Linked DNA regions of Arabidopsis thaliana. The protein of the gene in region 3 interacts with the protein of the main gene of each other region in a pairwise test. Each region holds a gene or a part of one and is shown on either strand. Other genes may lie near its edges.

Evidence for each region. Proteins that work in one complex are often made in the same cells at the same time.
Region 1: the proteins of ATL15 (region 3) and MLO3 interact in a protein complementation assay, tested with the Arabidopsis thaliana proteins (one large-scale study listed by BioGRID).
Region 2: the proteins of ATL15 (region 3) and NOF1 interact in a protein complementation assay, tested with the Arabidopsis thaliana proteins (one large-scale study listed by BioGRID).

The regions. Positions count from the first base shown.
Region 1 is NC_003074.8:16,615,743-16,621,908, forward strand, and holds MLO3 (Seven transmembrane MLO family protein), read left to right. Parts: upstream 1-1,655; 5' UTR 1,656-1,843; coding exon 1,844-1,993; intron 1,994-2,339; coding exon 2,340-2,397; intron 2,398-2,571; coding exon 2,572-2,774; intron 2,775-3,400; coding exon 3,401-3,517; intron 3,518-3,648; coding exon 3,649-3,709; intron 3,710-3,802; coding exon 3,803-3,891; intron 3,892-3,994; coding exon 3,995-4,069; intron 4,070-4,155; coding exon 4,156-4,244; intron 4,245-4,320; coding exon 4,321-4,370; intron 4,371-4,473; coding exon 4,474-4,514; exon of another isoform or gene 4,515-4,595; coding exon 4,596-4,769; exon of another isoform or gene 4,770-4,795; intron 4,796-4,843; coding exon 4,844-4,879; intron 4,880-4,990; coding exon 4,991-5,058; intron 5,059-5,167; coding exon 5,168-5,228; intron 5,229-5,355; coding exon 5,356-5,610; 3' UTR 5,611-5,628; downstream 5,629-6,166. Other genes in the region: IVD (isovaleryl-CoA-dehydrogenase), read right to left, coding at 5,917-6,063.
Region 2 is NC_003070.9:6,082,344-6,090,351, forward strand, and holds NOF1 (U3 small nucleolar RNA-associated protein), read right to left. Parts: upstream 6,039-8,008; 5' UTR 5,815-6,038; coding exon 5,694-5,814; intron 5,588-5,693; coding exon 5,458-5,587; intron 5,200-5,457; coding exon 5,075-5,199; intron 4,911-5,074; coding exon 4,751-4,910; intron 4,651-4,750; coding exon 4,506-4,650; intron 4,409-4,505; coding exon 4,285-4,408; intron 4,179-4,284; coding exon 4,078-4,178; intron 3,977-4,077; coding exon 3,845-3,976; intron 3,743-3,844; coding exon 3,662-3,742; intron 3,456-3,661; coding exon 3,259-3,455; intron 3,157-3,258; coding exon 3,084-3,156; intron 2,997-3,083; coding exon 2,937-2,996; intron 2,734-2,936; coding exon 2,695-2,733; intron 2,613-2,694; coding exon 2,524-2,612; intron 2,427-2,523; coding exon 2,362-2,426; intron 2,231-2,361; coding exon 2,184-2,230; intron 1,978-2,183; coding exon 1,918-1,977; intron 1,851-1,917; coding exon 1,779-1,850; intron 1,597-1,778; coding exon 1,567-1,596; intron 1,402-1,566; and 11 more. Other genes in the region: PRA1.F1 (prenylated RAB acceptor 1.F1), read left to right, coding at 7,245-7,787. UniProt on the Arabidopsis thaliana protein: DEAD-box RNA helicase-like protein required for pre-18S rRNA processing, specifically at sites A0, A1, and A2. Involved in the control of rRNA expression. Required for embryo development and female gametogenesis.
Region 3 is NC_003070.9:7,947,479-7,951,417, forward strand, and holds ATL15 (RING/U-box superfamily protein), read left to right. Parts: upstream 1-1,997; 5' UTR 1,998-2,102; coding exon 2,103-3,248; 3' UTR 3,249-3,422; downstream 3,423-3,939. Other genes in the region: AT1G22510 (E3 ubiquitin-protein ligase RNF170-like protein (DUF 1232)), read right to left, coding at 3,525-3,637, 3,739-3,790, 3,935-3,939. UniProt on the Arabidopsis thaliana protein: E3 ubiquitin-protein ligase able to catalyze polyubiquitination with ubiquitin-conjugating enzyme E2 UBC8, UBC10, UBC11, UBC28 and UBC29 in vitro.

The DNA.
Region 1 (6,166 bases), on a different chromosome or scaffold from region 3:
GTTACAATTAGGGTCCAAATTTTTATTAAAAAATAAAATATAGGAAATGATGACCAATTCTTTTTTTTAGCACATGATTTTTAATTATTTTGAGCCAGCCCTAAGTAAAAAACGTATAGGCTTTTGTCGACGATTATGTTATAAACTTATAACTAGATAAGAACTCGCATCTAGTGTGGGATGAAACGATTAAAATAAATTATTTGATAAAATTATTGATATTTAATATTTGTCTGTATATAATAAAACATGTAATTAATGTTTTTATTTTATTTTAATTTATGTTTGTTTTGTGTAAAAATACGTTTCACCCGTGATTGTTAAAGCTCTAATTCTTGAGTGGGTCGGAACTTGGTTTAATTTGCAACATAATACAAACATCGATATATCAGATCTTTTTTAGTTTGTGTTATAGTGTGCTCAGTGGGGCGGCTGTTGTACGGATAGATTTGAAAGGATTCTTTGTTATGATTCCAACGTTTTTGCAATCACTAGAGAAAACCAATGAGATTGTAAAAGAAAAACGGAAACAAAACAAAACAAAAGAGAAGAAAGCTAGAGAACAAAAAAATGATATTCACTAGACATGGTTTCGACGAAGAAACTGGAAACCAGCCATCAAACAAATACAACAAAGATGATCTGAGCTTAGTCGAGAAAAAAGGATCCTGAATTGCTCGGATGATAAAATCAGACGTGGTTGGGATTTCTCTCTAAAATGTTCTCATCATTTAATTTGGCCATTTGGATATGATTTAAATCCTAATTTCTAGCTTTAGTTTCTTGTTTTTTTTTTTAAATTAATCAAGCACAATAAAAACCTTAGACTTAGAACCCTCCATTTTTTTTCCAACAATTTTGAAAACTATATAAGTTCATTATTTTTATCTCTATATATATATATAAGCTTAAGAAAATGTACGTATAATTATGTTTGTTCAAATGTTCATCCAGAATATTTTACGATGTCATATTGGTTTTGTTTTGTTATCATGTTGTGAAGTAAGTAATCATTTTTTTTATTGTCATTTCCGTTCTTGTATTAAAAATTATATATTGATGTGGTTGTTAAACCGAAAAAGAAGGTGAATTTGGTAGATCGCAATATTTATTGATGAAATTAAGAAAATATCAATAATATGATTTGGGTTCATTACATAGTTTTTTTTTTTACATGTGTAACCCCTTCTCACGGCCACGGTGAAATTTTCATAATATACACAAAAAGGGCAACAAATAAGAAATTTTCATTACATAGTATATTCCTTAATTTTGTTTTTATTCTCATTTAGTTTTTACTAGAAACATTAAAATGAACTTATATTTGTAACGTGCTATTTTGTTTTCTGAACTATCAAATGAACGTCTAACAAAATCAAACTCAAAAACTTATAATTTATAACTCTAATTTCCATTTAATAAATAATATACCCACTAAATTAAAAGTTAAAAGTTAACTAGTAAAATCGACTATAATTGCAGAAAATTAGAAACTGTTTTATCCTTTCTTTACATTGTCGGTTTTCACCGTCCAATACTCCAATCCATTTTTAGTTTACTAACTAAAATTTTTTTATTTTAATTTACTTATCAAGTTTACCCAAGAATAATATTAAGTCTTACCAAGTCAAGACAGGGCAGTACGTATGAAGTGGGACTTGGGATTTAATGTCACATTTAAAGCTTAAACGTCAGTGTTTACTAGAAACTTTGACAAGTTCTTGATTGCAACACAACAATGATTGCGACAATATTAATAGATATATAGTTATATTTTCCACCACATATCTAATTCTTCATCTTCTCAACTAAACAAATCAGTCACCGGGAAAAATATAAAGAGATGACGGATAAAGAAGAAAGCAACCACTCCTCGGAGGTTGGCGCCGTCCGATCCCTCCAAGAAACTCCCACTTGGGCTCTGGCCACCGTTTGTTTCTTCTTCATCGCTGTTTCCATTTGCCTCGAGCGTCTCATCAATCTTCTATCCACTGTAAGTACAAATATGTATATTATAGGATCATATATACTTTCTTCTATACACTGTTTAAATTTTGACTAATCTCTTTAAGTTTTTTTTATAAATTTTTTGTTCTTGGAAAAGTAGAGTTTGGTTTACACTTGCAAGAATTTAAATTGGATATATTTATATTTTATTAAATTAGATATATAGGTGAAGTAGTAAATATGTATGTTAATAAAAATGTATTTTAATATTTTAACCATTTTCGAAAAATATCAGCTAGATAACATGAGTTGAAATTTCAACAAAAAATAAAAAGCGAGTCGAAAGTTCAAGACAAAACTGTATTATATATATATTGTCTCTTTTCTTGCAGAGACTTAAGAAAAATAGAAAAACGTCGCTACTTGAAGCTGTAGAGAAGCTCAAATCAGGTAAAAAACTGTCCCATTCGTAGAAAAGTTCATTGGTCATCAATCTTTGTTTAATTTAAAAAGCTCAAACATCTTATAGTAAAAAAAAATCCTAAATTTTTGGATATGAAAATCAATTGAAATATCTCTTCCAATTTTATTAATCTCTGAATTTTTAATGTTCTGTAAGGGCAGTTCTAATGGTGCTAGGATTCATGTCACTAATGCTAAATGTAACTGAAGGAGAAGTTTCGAAGATATGCATTCCTATAAAGTATGCCAATCGAATGTTGCCATGCCGTAAAACCATAAAATCACATAATGATGTTAGTGAAGATGATGATGATGATGATGGTGATAATCATGACAACAGCTTCTTTCATCAATGCTCTTCCAAGGTTCTTTTTGACCCTTTGATCTTTAATTAAAATCATTTTACAGTTTTATTTTCATTTATCTTTAAATCCAAGGTGGACATATATATAATGTATAAAAGTAGTATACAAAGGTTTTAACTTAGAAAAACAAAAGTTTTGATGACCAGTGAAACTGTAGATAGAAATTATGCAGCAATTTTGTTTTCTTAATCAATCACACAATTTAGTTTTTGATTTATGAATTTTCGTTAAATGATTTTCCAGTTTTCATAACCTTTTATTGCTTACTATTCTACAATATGATTATTTAAATAAGAGATTTAATCATATACATTTTTATATGCTTAACTTATGAAACTTCTGAATCCAAAAGTTTTAAGATATCTTCTTGAAATCCAAGATGGAGGGAGAGAGGACCGCAAAATCCAAAAATGTCAACTAGTTTACTTTGACGTTGACTTGGAGTCTTGGACATTGTCGTTAGCTAGAGTCCACTAATCAAGAAAATTACGTCCAAATAAAAAAGAAAACAAAAAAAAAATTGTTGAGTTATGAACAAAATATCAAGAGTATGACTTTTTCTTTGCTTACTAAAGTAAATTTTATTTCGAAGTAACTAATCCGATTTAATAAAATAAAATTTGCAGGGTAAGACTTCACTAATATCAGAAGAAGGGTTGACTCAGTTGAGTTACTTCTTCTTTGTGTTGGCATGCATGCATATTCTCTGCAATCTTGCTATTCTTCTCCTTGGAATGGCCAAGGTACTACATATATACACTATGCAATCAAATATTATAACATTACAATTGTTTAATAAAGACTTCAATAATTTGTGACATGGTTTTTTACTATTGTTTACATACAAAGTTTTTTGTGTACGTAATACATATAGATGAGAAAATGGAATTCGTGGGAGAAAGAGACCCAAACAGTGGAGTATCTAGCAGCAAACGGTAAGATTTTTGTATTTTTCTACTACGAAATTACATGCAATGTCAATTATTTCTTAGTCGATAAGTTAATTAATATTTTATGAAAATTTAAAGATCCGAATAGGTTTAGAATAACAAGAGATACAACATTTGCTCGACGACACCTGAGTTCATGGACTGAAACATCATTTCAACTTTGGATTGTAAGTTCGTACCTATTATTAATCTTTAATTAATTTGTTAATTAACATTTATCTCAAATATATAGGTTTAACTATATTAATAATTAAGTTTTTTTCTTCTTAGAAATGTTTCTTCAGGCAATTTTACAACTCAGTGGCGAAAGTAGATTACCTCACACTTCGGCATGGGTTCATCTTTGTTAGTACCTCATTTTTTGTCAATGAATAATTATTTAAAAATAAATAAATTTTAAATTTAATGTGTTATTTTGATTATTGATGCAGGCTCATGTATCGTCAAATAATGCTTTCAACTTCCAAAACTATATACAGAGATCTTTACATGAAGATTTTAAAACTGTGGTTGGTATAAGGTAGTCATATTTGTGTATTTTACATGAATCTTAAGTAACAAAGTTAAATCAAATAAACTTTTTAATTTTGTTACAGTCCTTTAATGTGGCTAACTGTGGTCATCTTTATGCTCCTCGACGTTTCTGGTAACTTAATTTATATATTTGTTAGCTTAAATAGTTAAATTAAAATAATTATTAGTGATTACTCGTTTTTATCTTATCTTCTTCTTTTTTTCTTAATCATCAGGTTGGAGAGTATATTTTTATATGTCATTTGTGCCACTCATTGTAAGAGCTAATTTAATCTAGTTAAGACTAATTAACTATATGTGTAACTCAAATTATTGACGAACTAATATTGTTACGTAGATAGTTTTAGTGATCGGGACGAAACTAGAGATGATAGTAGCGAAAATGGCGGTCACAATTAAGGAGAATAACAGTGTAATTAGAGGAACCCCTCTCGTTGAGTCAAACGACACGCATTTCTGGTTTTCCAATCCTCGTTTTCTCTTAAGCATTCTACACTACACGCTGTTTCTGGTAATCTTTTATAAACTACATGTCGTTTTTCCTAATGCTTCATCATAATGCCAACATTAATTTTTCTAATACAGAACACCTTCGAGATGGCATTTATTGTGTGGATCACTGTAAGTTCTAATTTCTTATAGGGATTTTAATATTTGGATTTATAAGAAAGGGAAAAATAATATAGGAAATTGTTATATGTGATGTATCTATAATTTTAATTATGAAATTAGTGGCAATTTGGGATTAACTCTTGCTACCATGATAACCAAGGGATCATAATCACACGACTTGTATTAGCGTAAGCACTACAATTTATTTATTTTATCCCACAAATTATTTACATTTTCGAAATTATATTTTTGTATTAAAAATCATATCGTTAATATTAAGGATATTATGATTTATAGGGTGACAGTCCAGTTCTTGAGCAGCTACATTACATTGCCTCTTTATGCCATTGTAACTCAGGTAATTTAGTCCAATATATATAACACCATTTTTAAATTAAATCGTTTTGCATTAGTATATAAATTATTACTGTTAGTGTAACCTAGTGATCTGAATTTGATTTGGATGCATATATATATGTGTTTAGATGGGGTCAAGCTACAAGAGAGCAATCTTAGAAGAACAACTAGCAAATGTGTTAAGGCACTGGCAAGGGATGGTTAGAGACAAGAAAAAGACTATCCAAACGCCAGACACCGACAACAACAGTAACAATAACAATGGTGATATTGATTCTGGAGAAAGTCCGGTTCAGACAGAAGTTGCTTCTGAGTTTAGATTTTCGGGTAGACAATCGCCGATTTTACAAGAGATACAGATACAAGAGAAAACTGAAAGGTGATCAGATTGATGGAAAATGAGAAAGAGATTGTTGGTATTATTGTTAAGAACTTTTTAGAGTTGCCTTTACTAATTATTGACGAATCAAATGACAAAATAGTAAGTTTAACCAGAAGTGTCAGTGTTAGATTGGCATGCTGGTATCGTGATAACATGTCACACATAATGTGACTAATAATTGATATGGTTTCTAGAGGATTGCTTGAAGCTATTTTTCTTATTGTGAGGTTATTAAGGACACTGTGAATTATATATACGTGTACAGAATGAAAATGTCGCATTGGCAATGCAGAAAACAGACTTATCTCTATTCTTCTTTGAAAAGCTCGCGACCGATGACAATCCTTCTGATCTCGCTTGTCCCTGCACCGATTTCATATAGCTTTGCATCTCTTAGAAGGCGTCCTGTTGCATATTCGTTTATGTATCCATTTCCGCCTAAACATTGTATCGCCTGCAACATCAAACCAAATCTTTTAGTCTTAAAGGAAAGGTAACTAGGTGATCAATATGTGTAGTTATGATCCCTTCGGAGGTTTGCTTTGCTGGTAACCATT
Region 2 (8,008 bases), 1.9 Mb from region 3:
ACACAACCAATAATAATCTTATCCATAAAATCGATGAAACTTTGTCCACAACCCACTTCAAGATCATCCTCTAAATGAAAAAATTCGTGTAAAGGCCAACAGACTACGACACCGCTTTGAGAGAAAACCGAACTGACATTTTCGGTTTTTATTTTCAAATCGGGTTTTCAGTAAATTAACCGATAGGCCATTCTTCAAATCCTTGAAGGAGAAAGATAGATTATTGAAAATTTTGTCATCTGCTGCTAGACCATTGATCATATCCATCCTTTTGATGTCGACGTCTGAAGTTTAATTGAATTTCTTCTCAAGTTTGACATTTGGTTTTGGATCCTGAAGTTGATACTTATAAAATGCAAATGACAACTAAACGTTATATTCGCACTCAAGAAAATGAAACTAAATTAATTTGTTCTCTAAATTTGAGTTTCATTTTAATTTGAATTGAACCGGTTAGTCTGAACAAAGAAAATAGCATAATCAAAACTGGGCGATCAAGATCACCAAACAAATAGATATCGACTATTTTGTTTCTTAACAGAAAGCAAACATGTTCTTCTCAGAAGTGATCATTCTCTTTGCGGAAGTAGAGCCAACGATCCTTTCCAGCTGCAAAAAACATCACATTGGTCCACATTACTAAACTTGCCATTACAACTTATATATTTATCATTACTCTTTGTACCTGGTTCGAGTGAGCTAAGTTTTAAACTAATCTAATTGTCTATATATGAGGAACCATCAGGAGACTGAAAACGAGAGATGTGTAAGTAGTACCTGGAGCATATCAAAACGAGAAAAAAGTGCAGTGGACATCATGTCATGTGATCCTTCTTCAAGCATGTTCATTATCTGCAGTTAAAGATCGAACGATGAGACTCGACTGTCGTTCTCCTGATTAGGGTTGGGTCGTATTTAATTCTCGATTAAAGATGCACTTACCTCAGGGTAAAACTCCTTCCGCTCCGGAAGAGAATATAAGATTAAGTTCTTTATACCACGGATCTGAAACCGAGAAAGCAACATCATCATACATCAGCCAAATTGGTCAGAACAGTACAGAACCTACTAAAAGATCAAAGATGAATTTAAGAAGAAGAAAAAACCTTGTATCTCTTATAAAAGTATGCTCTCTCAGTGTAAAGCATGATCTTTCGGCTCCCTACAAAAAACTGTTCTCTTGCTCGGGATATATCTGCATTTTTTGCATAACTGAAAAACAGAAGTCAATTAACTATATCCGGTAAAGGAAATCCAGATAACACAGAGAAGCAGCAACTTCAAAACAGGAAGAAAATGATCTTACTCTCCAAGAAGACAGAAAGAGGTATTCTGCGTATTCAAAAAGTTTCTAAGCCTGACGAACTCGAAGTAAGAATGGATAAAGATCATTACTCCTCCCTACAAGCATGATTGGAATACGAACAATCAAGCTCCCAAATTTACGTGATAACAATAAGGTCTTTGTTCTGCCCAACTTTGTTATTGTCCAGTATGTTATGGCAACTTAGAAGTATGGTCAACAAAACAGTTTAGACTTTGAATGACTTCGAATGATGGGAGTACCTGAACAGAATCTTTAATCTTTGGGAAAATCTGTAATGAAAAGAAGAACGGAATCAGTAACTATTTTATTTAGCACCTAAAAAGTGTAATATGTGCAATGACTTATGACCCTACTTTCAATGGTATACGAACAAAGATATGCAACAATGCAATTTATTCATGAAAATCTAATTACTGCAAAACCATAGCATCAAAAAAAAAAAAAAAATGACCTTTTTGGTAAAATATTCAAGACGTGCATCGTCCACTTGGGTTATGGAGGCTGCATCAAATCTTTCATAAATCTGCAACACAGACAGAGAGATAAGATGTCTAAAACTTTTCTTGTGTAAAAAAGATAAGCTTTCATACCTGACGGACAGGGAGCAACACTTTCTCAAGAACACCCTTGTATTCACACGCCATCTTCATCTGCATAGATTCAACCAAAAGTGTTACGGTACAAATTTAACATCAAACTAGATATGAAAGACAAGTTAACTTTAAATTTACAATCTTGGTATGGGGAACACGCATAATAGATCAATCATATAATCCCCTCAATACACTAGTAACAAAAAAGACGCCCGAAATCCATTTACTATAAATGGATAATGTGCTGCATTATGAATGCTCACCTTTCCCTTATAGTTCAAGCAGTGGCGACCGAATAGAGAATTCATCTCTGAAACGAAATATTATCTGGGTTAGTACAAGTTTGGAAACTCCACCATAAATAAGGATTATGGAAATATAGGAAAAACGAAGATCAAAAGGAATTAAACCATAGGTGATAACAAATGGACAGATCAATACCCGGAGTTAAATAAGAACTTAGAATTATTGACTGGCGATAAAACCTTGCATGTCCATCCAGATACCTAAACATAAGAACTTTTCTTAGAAATTCTGGCATAGATGGGCTGTTGGACAGATAAACATATTAGAGAAAAGAACTTAAAAGTCAGAACTACGTACAACGGCCGAATTCGCATGACATTGGTTCCATGTTGTTTTGTTGGCAATCTATTTAAGTAGTCAACGACTGTAGCAAGGAACGACCAATTCTGAAACATTATAATAGAACATATAAGAAATGGAGTCATAAATCTATCTTTGAAAATTCTATAAGCTCATCCCACAACCTACCTGCATAGATATTATGTCTGCATGATCGATAACCAAAACCTATCCACATGTACATGAAAAACAATATTAGTAACTAAAATAAGAAGATGCAGAATACAACCTCAAATATTTGAAAATACATGCAGTAATAAACCAGGTTTAAGAGATAAAGCAATAATAGACTAAAGTAACTGAACATTATTGGCATCAACCATCAGCTATCTATTAAATATATCTTCTGCAAGCAATGATAAAAGAAGTACCTCTATGGAAGAAAGATAATCAACATCCCGTTCCTTGTTTTCTTCTGCTGCACCAATGGCCTAACAAGAGCGAAGTTGATTAGAGATCAAATCAAGAAGATTTGCATAACTAAATCATCTTATGAAAGGATAGACAAGGCTGCCTACCATATGTAACTTGAGAGGGGAAGCAACTATAATGTCTGAGGAATAAAAATCACCATATAGCCTAATACTCTTCCTGAAATTGACAAGAGGATTCAAGTCTCAGCACAACGACCAAATTAGATACCAACCGAAAGCATGCACTTCAAATCTAAAGAGTATGTAGGCTTATATATACCTTGTATGTTTAATGCCTAACATAAACTCATCATCGTTGTTATTCGCACCAAAAAGGGCTTGCCAGTCAGAAGGTTTTGAAGACTTTTGTTTGATTGAGTTTCCATTTTTCGATGTAGTCTTTTCACCATCACAGTCATCAGTATCCTCTTCACATCCAAACTCATCATTAAACCGGTCAAGGTGTTCTACATTAACCTGAAACCAATGAAGGATATTGAAGATGGCATAGGCAACTCAAGGCATTAGCAACATAGACAATATCAATGCAGAAAATTCTTTCAACATCACTAACAATCAAACTAGAGAATTTTCTCATCCACGAGATGTAGAGTAGAGGCAACACAGTCACAAAGCATTTTCCAATTGAAAAATTGATGAACGAATTTCATAAATTTATATACCCTTTGAGATTCCGGAGTTAGTTGTATGAGCCTCTTAACAACGCGAAAGGCAATGCTCCTCAATGGTAATAGAATCAGGACCTGGAATTACAATACACGTAAGACCGACTGTCAAACTCAAATGCGAGCAACAACATATTTAAACACATAAAATATTTGCAGAAGAAAAGCAGAAGGGGTCACCTTTGGACGAGTAAATCCTTGGTCCAGAAATCCATCATCAGAAAGAATTTCTTCTTCGGAGGTCTCTCGATGCTTGGCGATTTTACTTTCATTCTTCTTCACTAGATCTCTAGTTTTAAAGATGTGATTCAACTGCATAAGACAAACGGACTTCAATAAATCCTGAAGATATGCGGAGTCTAATGAAAAACTCATAAATTGTCTTAGAAAAAGGAATACAAGTGTGTACACACAGAATGCATAAGGTACGCATCCATGGCACTTGAGTCTTCGTCAGAGCCACAATGGTAAAAGGGTTTCTTGTTAGAATGCAATATATCCAGATAGCTGTTGCCTGCAGTATCAAAATACAATGATCAACACAGAGCCATGAAAGAAACATGAATGATATAAAGTAGAAAGAATCCAGAGATAGGAAAATCCCGGAATCTAATACGTACAAATAGAGAAGAATTTTCTCCTCTTAGATGAGTCCAAATCTTTGCCTCCACATTTTTTGTACAATTGCAGCCAGTGATTATATAACTTCGGCTTGAGGCCGTAAGGTGCATCACTCTGAATACCCTGCAAAATATAAACAAATGGTGCTACTGGTAAACTACTAGGTTTGGAGGCAGACTTCGCGACCATATTTTCTGAGGAAAGGTTACAGAACACATACATCAAGAAAATTTTCACTCGTTCCTTTCCATTTGCAATTTGGCATGTCAAAGGCAGGTGATTCCCATTTAAACTTCCACTTGCCTTTTGGTAAAGTTTCCACTTCTTCACTGGATAATTTGTGGCTAAGGTGCTCACTAAATGCACTGAACAATAAATGTGTGAATAAAAGAGTTGTATTGGATAAACGAGCACATCAAACTGTAAATAAATGTTTGCAGACACCACCATCTGAATCAAATTTACCTAATAGATGAAGAAGCATCTACAAAGGATTGGCCATTGGTACTCAACTCATGCACCTCCTCATCCGTTTCATAGTCGTCAGGATCTTCTTCCTCACTCTGATTATCATTGTCTTCCTGCGTGTCGTCCGTAAGACCTCCGAGAGTTTCCTGATCATCCCCTTAAATATACAAACAGAAGCATAGGTGAAATCAAAAGGCTGAACAACGATGCAACTATTGCAAGAATACTTAAGAGCCAATAATGAAGTTTACAGGAGTATGCTAAGTCTAAGCACAATAGAAACTAGTAATAACTTGCAAAACTAGATAAGGAAAAACTAACCTTGACTCTTATCATCCTCCCCATCAGTAGAGCTTAAATCGTCAGACCCACTGTTTTCCTCCTCATCCTCATCTTCATCGTCCTCATCTTCTTCTGTGTCACTTTTACCTTCTTCCTCTCTCTGCCTGTAAAAAAGATTTGAAGATTCACTACCTCCCTCACAACCAATATATGCCAAGAAACTTGTTACATATAATCAACACAATCTTAAAAGAATAAAATTTGAAGATTTAAAGGACATAGTAGTTAGTTCCACATCGGAACAAGTATATCGAATCTAAATGATTGACATAATTCCGAGTCATACAAAGAGTCAAAGACTTCCAAATAAACCAAAAACTGAAGACTTGAACTTGTTAAAACAAACGACATTGTAAAGATACCTTCTTTTGTTCATATCAGCAACAACCTTGTTAGATGAACCAAGAGACACCAGCAAATTTTGGTACTGTGTCGGTTCTCTGTAAACCATTGCTTCCGATTCAGCCTCTATAGAGGATTCTTCAGGTGAATCTAACGATAAAATAACACAAAAAGAGTTTAATATTGAGCACCACTTAATTTGTTGGACACACAATCTGTAATCTCTTGCACAATTAACAAAGAAGAGCTAACAAACCTGTTGAAGGATTGGAAACAATCGTCTTTTCAACATGTTTGTGCTTCTTCGTATCTCGTTTCTTATCGAATTTCTCATGGGACCTGTGCCTCTTCAAGACTCCAGTAGCGTTTGGAGCCATCTTAGGGAAGTTAACTGGTGCAGAGAAAGAGATTATAGGAGATGTTGAGCCTTGTCGCTTGCTTGACGGCGTTGACAACGGAGTTTAGATTTTAGCTGTCAGAAAAAACTGCCTCAAAACGAAGTTCGTAGGTTTGGTCTGAAAAATAAAGCGGCGGCCGAGCAGATTAAAACCCAAAGTCATAACGGAGAAGATGATGATACGATGTTACTAGTACACGTCGGTTTATTAGTTATTGAATGGGCCTTGCAATAGGCCCAATATATTTAACGCTTTCCTTTTCTGGTTTCCTATTATTTTTTTGTCATCTCTACCCAAAACTTAGCTTACGCTATACAAGAGTACTAAAATGGTAAAATTCAAGAGCGATACGCAGGTGCTAATGTAGAATGACTACATGTAAAATAATTGAACTAAATATGATAAATCTCCTGACCTTACGGCCAGTTTTCATACACTCACATCTGAAACCAAACATCATAATCCATACAATTACTTATCAAGAGCCTATACCTTTCTACAAAGATTTGTATGTATCATACACTGAATGAGATTTATCATTTTTAGTACATATATGACTCATATATGTATTATTTATTGGTTAATAATAAAAAGATTCAGAATTCAAGGTTTCCAAGTTGGAGTGGTGGGCTTAAAGGAGAGCCATGTTCATTTTTTCAATAATTGCAAGAAAAAATAACTTGGGCAGGCAAGTCTCATCTCTTTCTGGTCTGGCCTTTCATGAGTTTTGCAGTTTTCTCCTCGTTCTCTTCTTATTACAGTTCCCATCTGGCACCTTCTCATTGGTGTCACCTCTTTTCAGTTTTAAATTTAGACAACGCCAACGTGGCCTGTTCTTCCTCCCGTTGGCCCCTTTCACCTCGTCGTTTTGTAACTCTAGACACACTTATTCTTATATACTGTATATTGTGGTTTTTTCTCACGTCGTTTTTATGACTCTGTTAATTCCCTCACGTTTTATCTTATAGATAAGAACATCAATATCGATTAGCAAGCCAATCCAATACATTTTACAAATGATAAACAAAAATGGCAATAACATGTGCGACGTGAATAACACAATCAGTTTGAAAATTAAAAAACGAGTGCGAAGAAGTGAAACATTAGTTTGGAAATGAAATCTAAATTAAAGTCAGTCATGACTCATGACTCATGTGGATGTGTTCTGATTCTGAACAATTGGATTCAAAAGTGTGTCCCGTAATTTTAGGTATTTTCAATGTTATCCCATATTTCACATTTTTATATACTATACAAGATGTTCAAATTTTTTTTTTTGTTATAGCAAATACAAAACTCTATAAAACCTCTCAGTCATGTAATGCTTTTCTCTTCACATACCACAAACACATCACACTTATAGCAAAAATAATTAATCTCTCTCCCATATCACGAAGGAGAAAAACAATATGACAACATATGGCACCAATCAGAAGTCGTCTAACGACTTAGCCCCCAAGCTGGAGTACATCACCCGTGGCATCAACCAACACAAAAGATCCGGCCTCGCCACGCGCCGCCCTTGGAAGCAAATGCTAGACCTCGGTTCCTTCAACTTCCCCCGCAAACTAGCCACCGTGATCACTAGAATCAGAGCCAACACGGTCTATTTCCAGACCAATTACACCATTGTCGTCCTCTTCTCCGTATTTCTCAGCCTGATTTGGAATCCCTTCTCCCTCTTAGTTCTACTCGCCCTACTCGGTGCATGGCTCTTCCTCTACTTCCTCCGTGATGAACCGCTCACTGTTTTTGACCGCGAGATTGACCACCGTATCGTACTTATAATCATGTCTGTTATCACTCTTTCCATCCTTTTTTTAACTGATGCGAAGCTCAATATCGCGGTGGCCATCGTGGCAGGTGCCTTGGCTGTGTTGTCTCATGCAGCTGTTAGGAAAACTGAAGATCTTTTCCAAACCGACGAAGAAACCAGTCTTTTAAATCCGTAAAAAGTTTAATATCAACTGTTAGACTATTTCAAATTATGGCTACGATTGTTTATTTTGCGTTTAGATTTGATTTTCAATGTTACGGTAACTAAATATTCATAACCATGATTGTTTACTAGCGTTTTCACGTTTTGTTTGTGTTTCACCATTTTATAGTGACTAAAGATATATAACATGGAAACACATGGGAAGAAGCATTTAAAATTTAGCCACTAAAACGT
Region 3 (3,939 bases):
CAAAGTTTTTGTGGTTTATGAAAGAGCTAGCGTGCTGCCATAAGATGACATATCAAAAATTGTACACGAACACTGTAACTCTTGAAAATAGGAATTTTCGTAATGGCTAAGTATCAAAATTAATATATGCTGACAAAAAACGAGAATATAATCCACAAATATTTCTAATTGCATACAAACAAACTCCATGAGATATACTTCAATTTAGTTCAAACTTCCAAAAACCATCATAAAATATTCCATTTTGTATAATCTCTTTTTCTGTTTTTTGTCAAAAGTATAATCTTTTTTTATTCTATTTGATATCCGAAAAAAGCAAAACTTGATTCTAGAAGTATTTTGTGGTTCCACAATTTATTATGTTTTTATTTATTTTAGCGTTCCACAATATAATATGTATTTTCGTTAGAATCATATAACCTCGTTTTAGTCTGACAATCATACAACCTCATTTTGAAAAAAAATCATATAATAAAAACTTGTTAAAAACCTATTATAAATAATTATACACAGCCAAAAAAACATTGTCACACCATACTCGAAACTCGAAAGCCTTCACCACAAAATACGTTTTAAGATGATAAGATTGAGACTTATATATCATTATCAATATGGATTAATAATATGTCTTTTTCGCAAATTGTTAAGGCATTTAATTGTCGATCCATAGACAAATAGGGGTGTGCGACTATAAAATGTATATTAAATTACATGTTGACAAACAAACAAGTATGTATATTAAATGCTTTCTTATTACTATTTTGGTTTCGTTTTTAATTCTGTTTGAATAAAATCGAGATTCCAAAATGAATTTACGGCAACAAAAAAAACACGTTTGTTCAACTTTTCTGTAACATATGGGATTGTTTGATTTTCATCGCATACCAAACAAAGTTTTTTTAAGGGGGCGTTGGCGATTGATTTTTACAATTTACTTTTTTCTACTGCATATTGATTTTTTTCTCCAGTTTTCATGAGTTGAAATATCTCCGAAATGCCAAAAAAAATAGCCCGAATAAAAAAAAAAGGTCGTTTTTGTTTATAAGCACTTAATTTGATTTTCTCTTTAGGTCTTATTTCTCGAGTTGAAAATCGTCCTAATGAAAGGGAAAGTTAAATCACCTCACATTATCTAAGACCATATATCTAATTATATCGGGCCGTCGGTTAAGTCATCGCATATTAAGATATACAAATCTCCACTAATTATCCATAACAAAGAGATCAGATATATGAATGATTATATAGACTGATTCCATAAAAGATATTAATCAATAACTAGTTAGTTGGAGAGCGACGTGATCACAACATGGTATCACCATGATGCAAGTATACATCACCAACTGCTTAAATTATTAATCACATTTACGACAATATCATTGTATAATTGCGTTGACCTACAATGGTAATACCACATCAAGGTCTTGTTAAAGTTGACTCATTAGAGATAAGTTTGATCTCGTATTGATTTTAGTCATTTTTACGAAAGATATGTGGAGCTTCGGTTCTACAAATCTTAAATTTTAATACAGAAATGTCCATATATATAAAACCTCAATGATCTAACTCGTAGACTCGATCAAACTTTTTTTTTTTTGTTAAAGGACTTAATCAAACTTGGGATATCAAATTAGCATGACATAAATGATCATAAACCACTTCCTAAACATGATGATTTATCCGACTAATTTGTTTCGTTTATAAAACATAAATTTTACCATCACAATTCGCAACAATTCACTTTTGGATTATATATATCTCTTCATAAGAGATTTGCTTGGTTGATATAATATAATTTATCAATAGTAGTGCCTTTTGTACGATCTGAAAAGTCAACCATCTTTGTAGGCATTAAGCAAAGCAAACCGTCCCCTAAATTAATGTATCACACGTTCTTATAATATCATCTCCTATGATCTTACCATCACTTTTTTTGGTTTCTTTCGCGAAGCCAAAAAAAAACAAGACAAAAAGAAATAAACGACGAGGCTTTTGTTTATTTTATAAAGCTCCTTCACCGGTAAAAGCCTTGGTCCTCATGAAACCGGGAAGCCCAAGTACTTACTTCCACCATCAAATCGTCAAACCATTTGCAACCATCGATGGTGGTCATGTCACGAGTAAGCTTCTACTCTTCTTTCTTGCTACTACTGTTAGAGGTCGTTGTCGCTAGCAGCGAGTTTGATGATGAAGGAAGAACATCGTTCAGTCCAACCACGGCTATAATCATGATCGTACTCGTTAGTGTTTTCTTCGCACTTGGATGTATCTCCGTCTACATGAGGAGGTGTCTCCAGCACGCTCTGGGGATGGACAGCGGTGGTGGTCCAGGAAACTGGCTTAACGTGAGGCAAACGACGGAGCCTGGGCTAGACGCGTCTGTTATAGAAACGTTTCCAACGTTTCCTTACTCTACAGTGAAGACGTTGAGGATCGGTAAAGAAGCTTTGGAGTGTCCCGTTTGTCTCAACGAGTTCGAGGACGACGAAACGCTGCGTTTGATTCCTCAGTGTTGTCACGTGTTTCATCCTGGTTGCATTGATGCCTGGCTCCGTTCTCAGACCACATGTCCTCTTTGCCGAGCCAATCTCGTTCCTGTACCGGGTGAGTCTGTTTCTTCGGAGATACCCGGTTTAGCTAGAGAAACCGGTCAGAACTCTCTCAGAACGCCGATTGATGATAACCGGAAAAGGGTTTTAACTTCACCTGACGAGCGGTTGATTGACTCAGTGGCTTGGACGGGTAACCAAAGCATGCCACGTAAATCCATGTCTACAGGTTGGAAACTAGCTGAATTGTACAGCCCGGCTAGTTCACCGGGCCAACCGGAGGAGAATCTCGACCGGTATACGCTGAGGTTACCACAAGAGATACATGACCAGCTTGTGAACTCCAGCCTGGGAAAGCAAGGGTCAAAAGGCCAACTGGCCTTACCTCAAGAAAGGAGCTCGGTTAGAGGGTTCAGAACCGGAAGCCTAGGGACTGAAAAGAACTATTTCTACTTTGAACGGTTTGATCAAGACGGTCGGTTGGACCGGAGACCATTTTCTATAACTCCTCCATACCATACCCGGTCGATACAGTCTCCGGATGAGATTATCAACGCTAGTGGTAATTATCAGGATCGTGCTGGTGCACCTAAAGGTTTGCTTCTAGCAATAAGGTCACCGTTTGATCGGTTATTTACTGGGAAGAAAAATGCCGGTGAGCGTTCGTACCTTCAATCCGGCGATGCGAGCCCTGTCTAGGCGAATTACTACTATTGGGGTTATTAAGAATATTCTGAAATAAAGAAAATCTGTATATGTATTTTCTTTCTTCTAGTTTCTTTATGTTATATGAGAAATTCAATTCCTTCACCAATATAATGCATCTGTTACTGAAATAGTAATAAAGGAAAGGACCATTTCGTTTTATCATCCAAATCAAGTTTCCTAAGTCTAACAGTCAAAAAGATAGGGTCAAACAAGTAAACCATGGTACTTCAACTGTGATGATTAATGATGTGAAAACTTCAAAGAGGTTCACGAACCACCATGACGGGAATAGAGAACGGATCGGTAGAGAGCAGCGACATGGAGGAAACAAATCAGGGCTATGAGAAGATCATCTAGTAAACCGATAACCCCCAAGACTCCTGACAAGAAATCGATACAAAGTATTGGTCAGTAATATGTTGATAGAAGAGAAGAGTGTGTGTATTGTATGAATATACTGAAGAGATGAAATGAGGATTACCTTCCGGAATGATATCTATTGGGCTGATTATGTAAATCGCACTGAGTATCAACTGCATCAAATAAAAAGCAGTGAATTTTGTGTTAGTCAGAGCATTCTTTAGTTCAGATGTGATCAAGTGCTCAAAGTTGTGAACATTTAATCACAGAAGATTTACTTAATAAGGGTCCAGAAGTAATGAATGTGTTAAACTAACCGCAA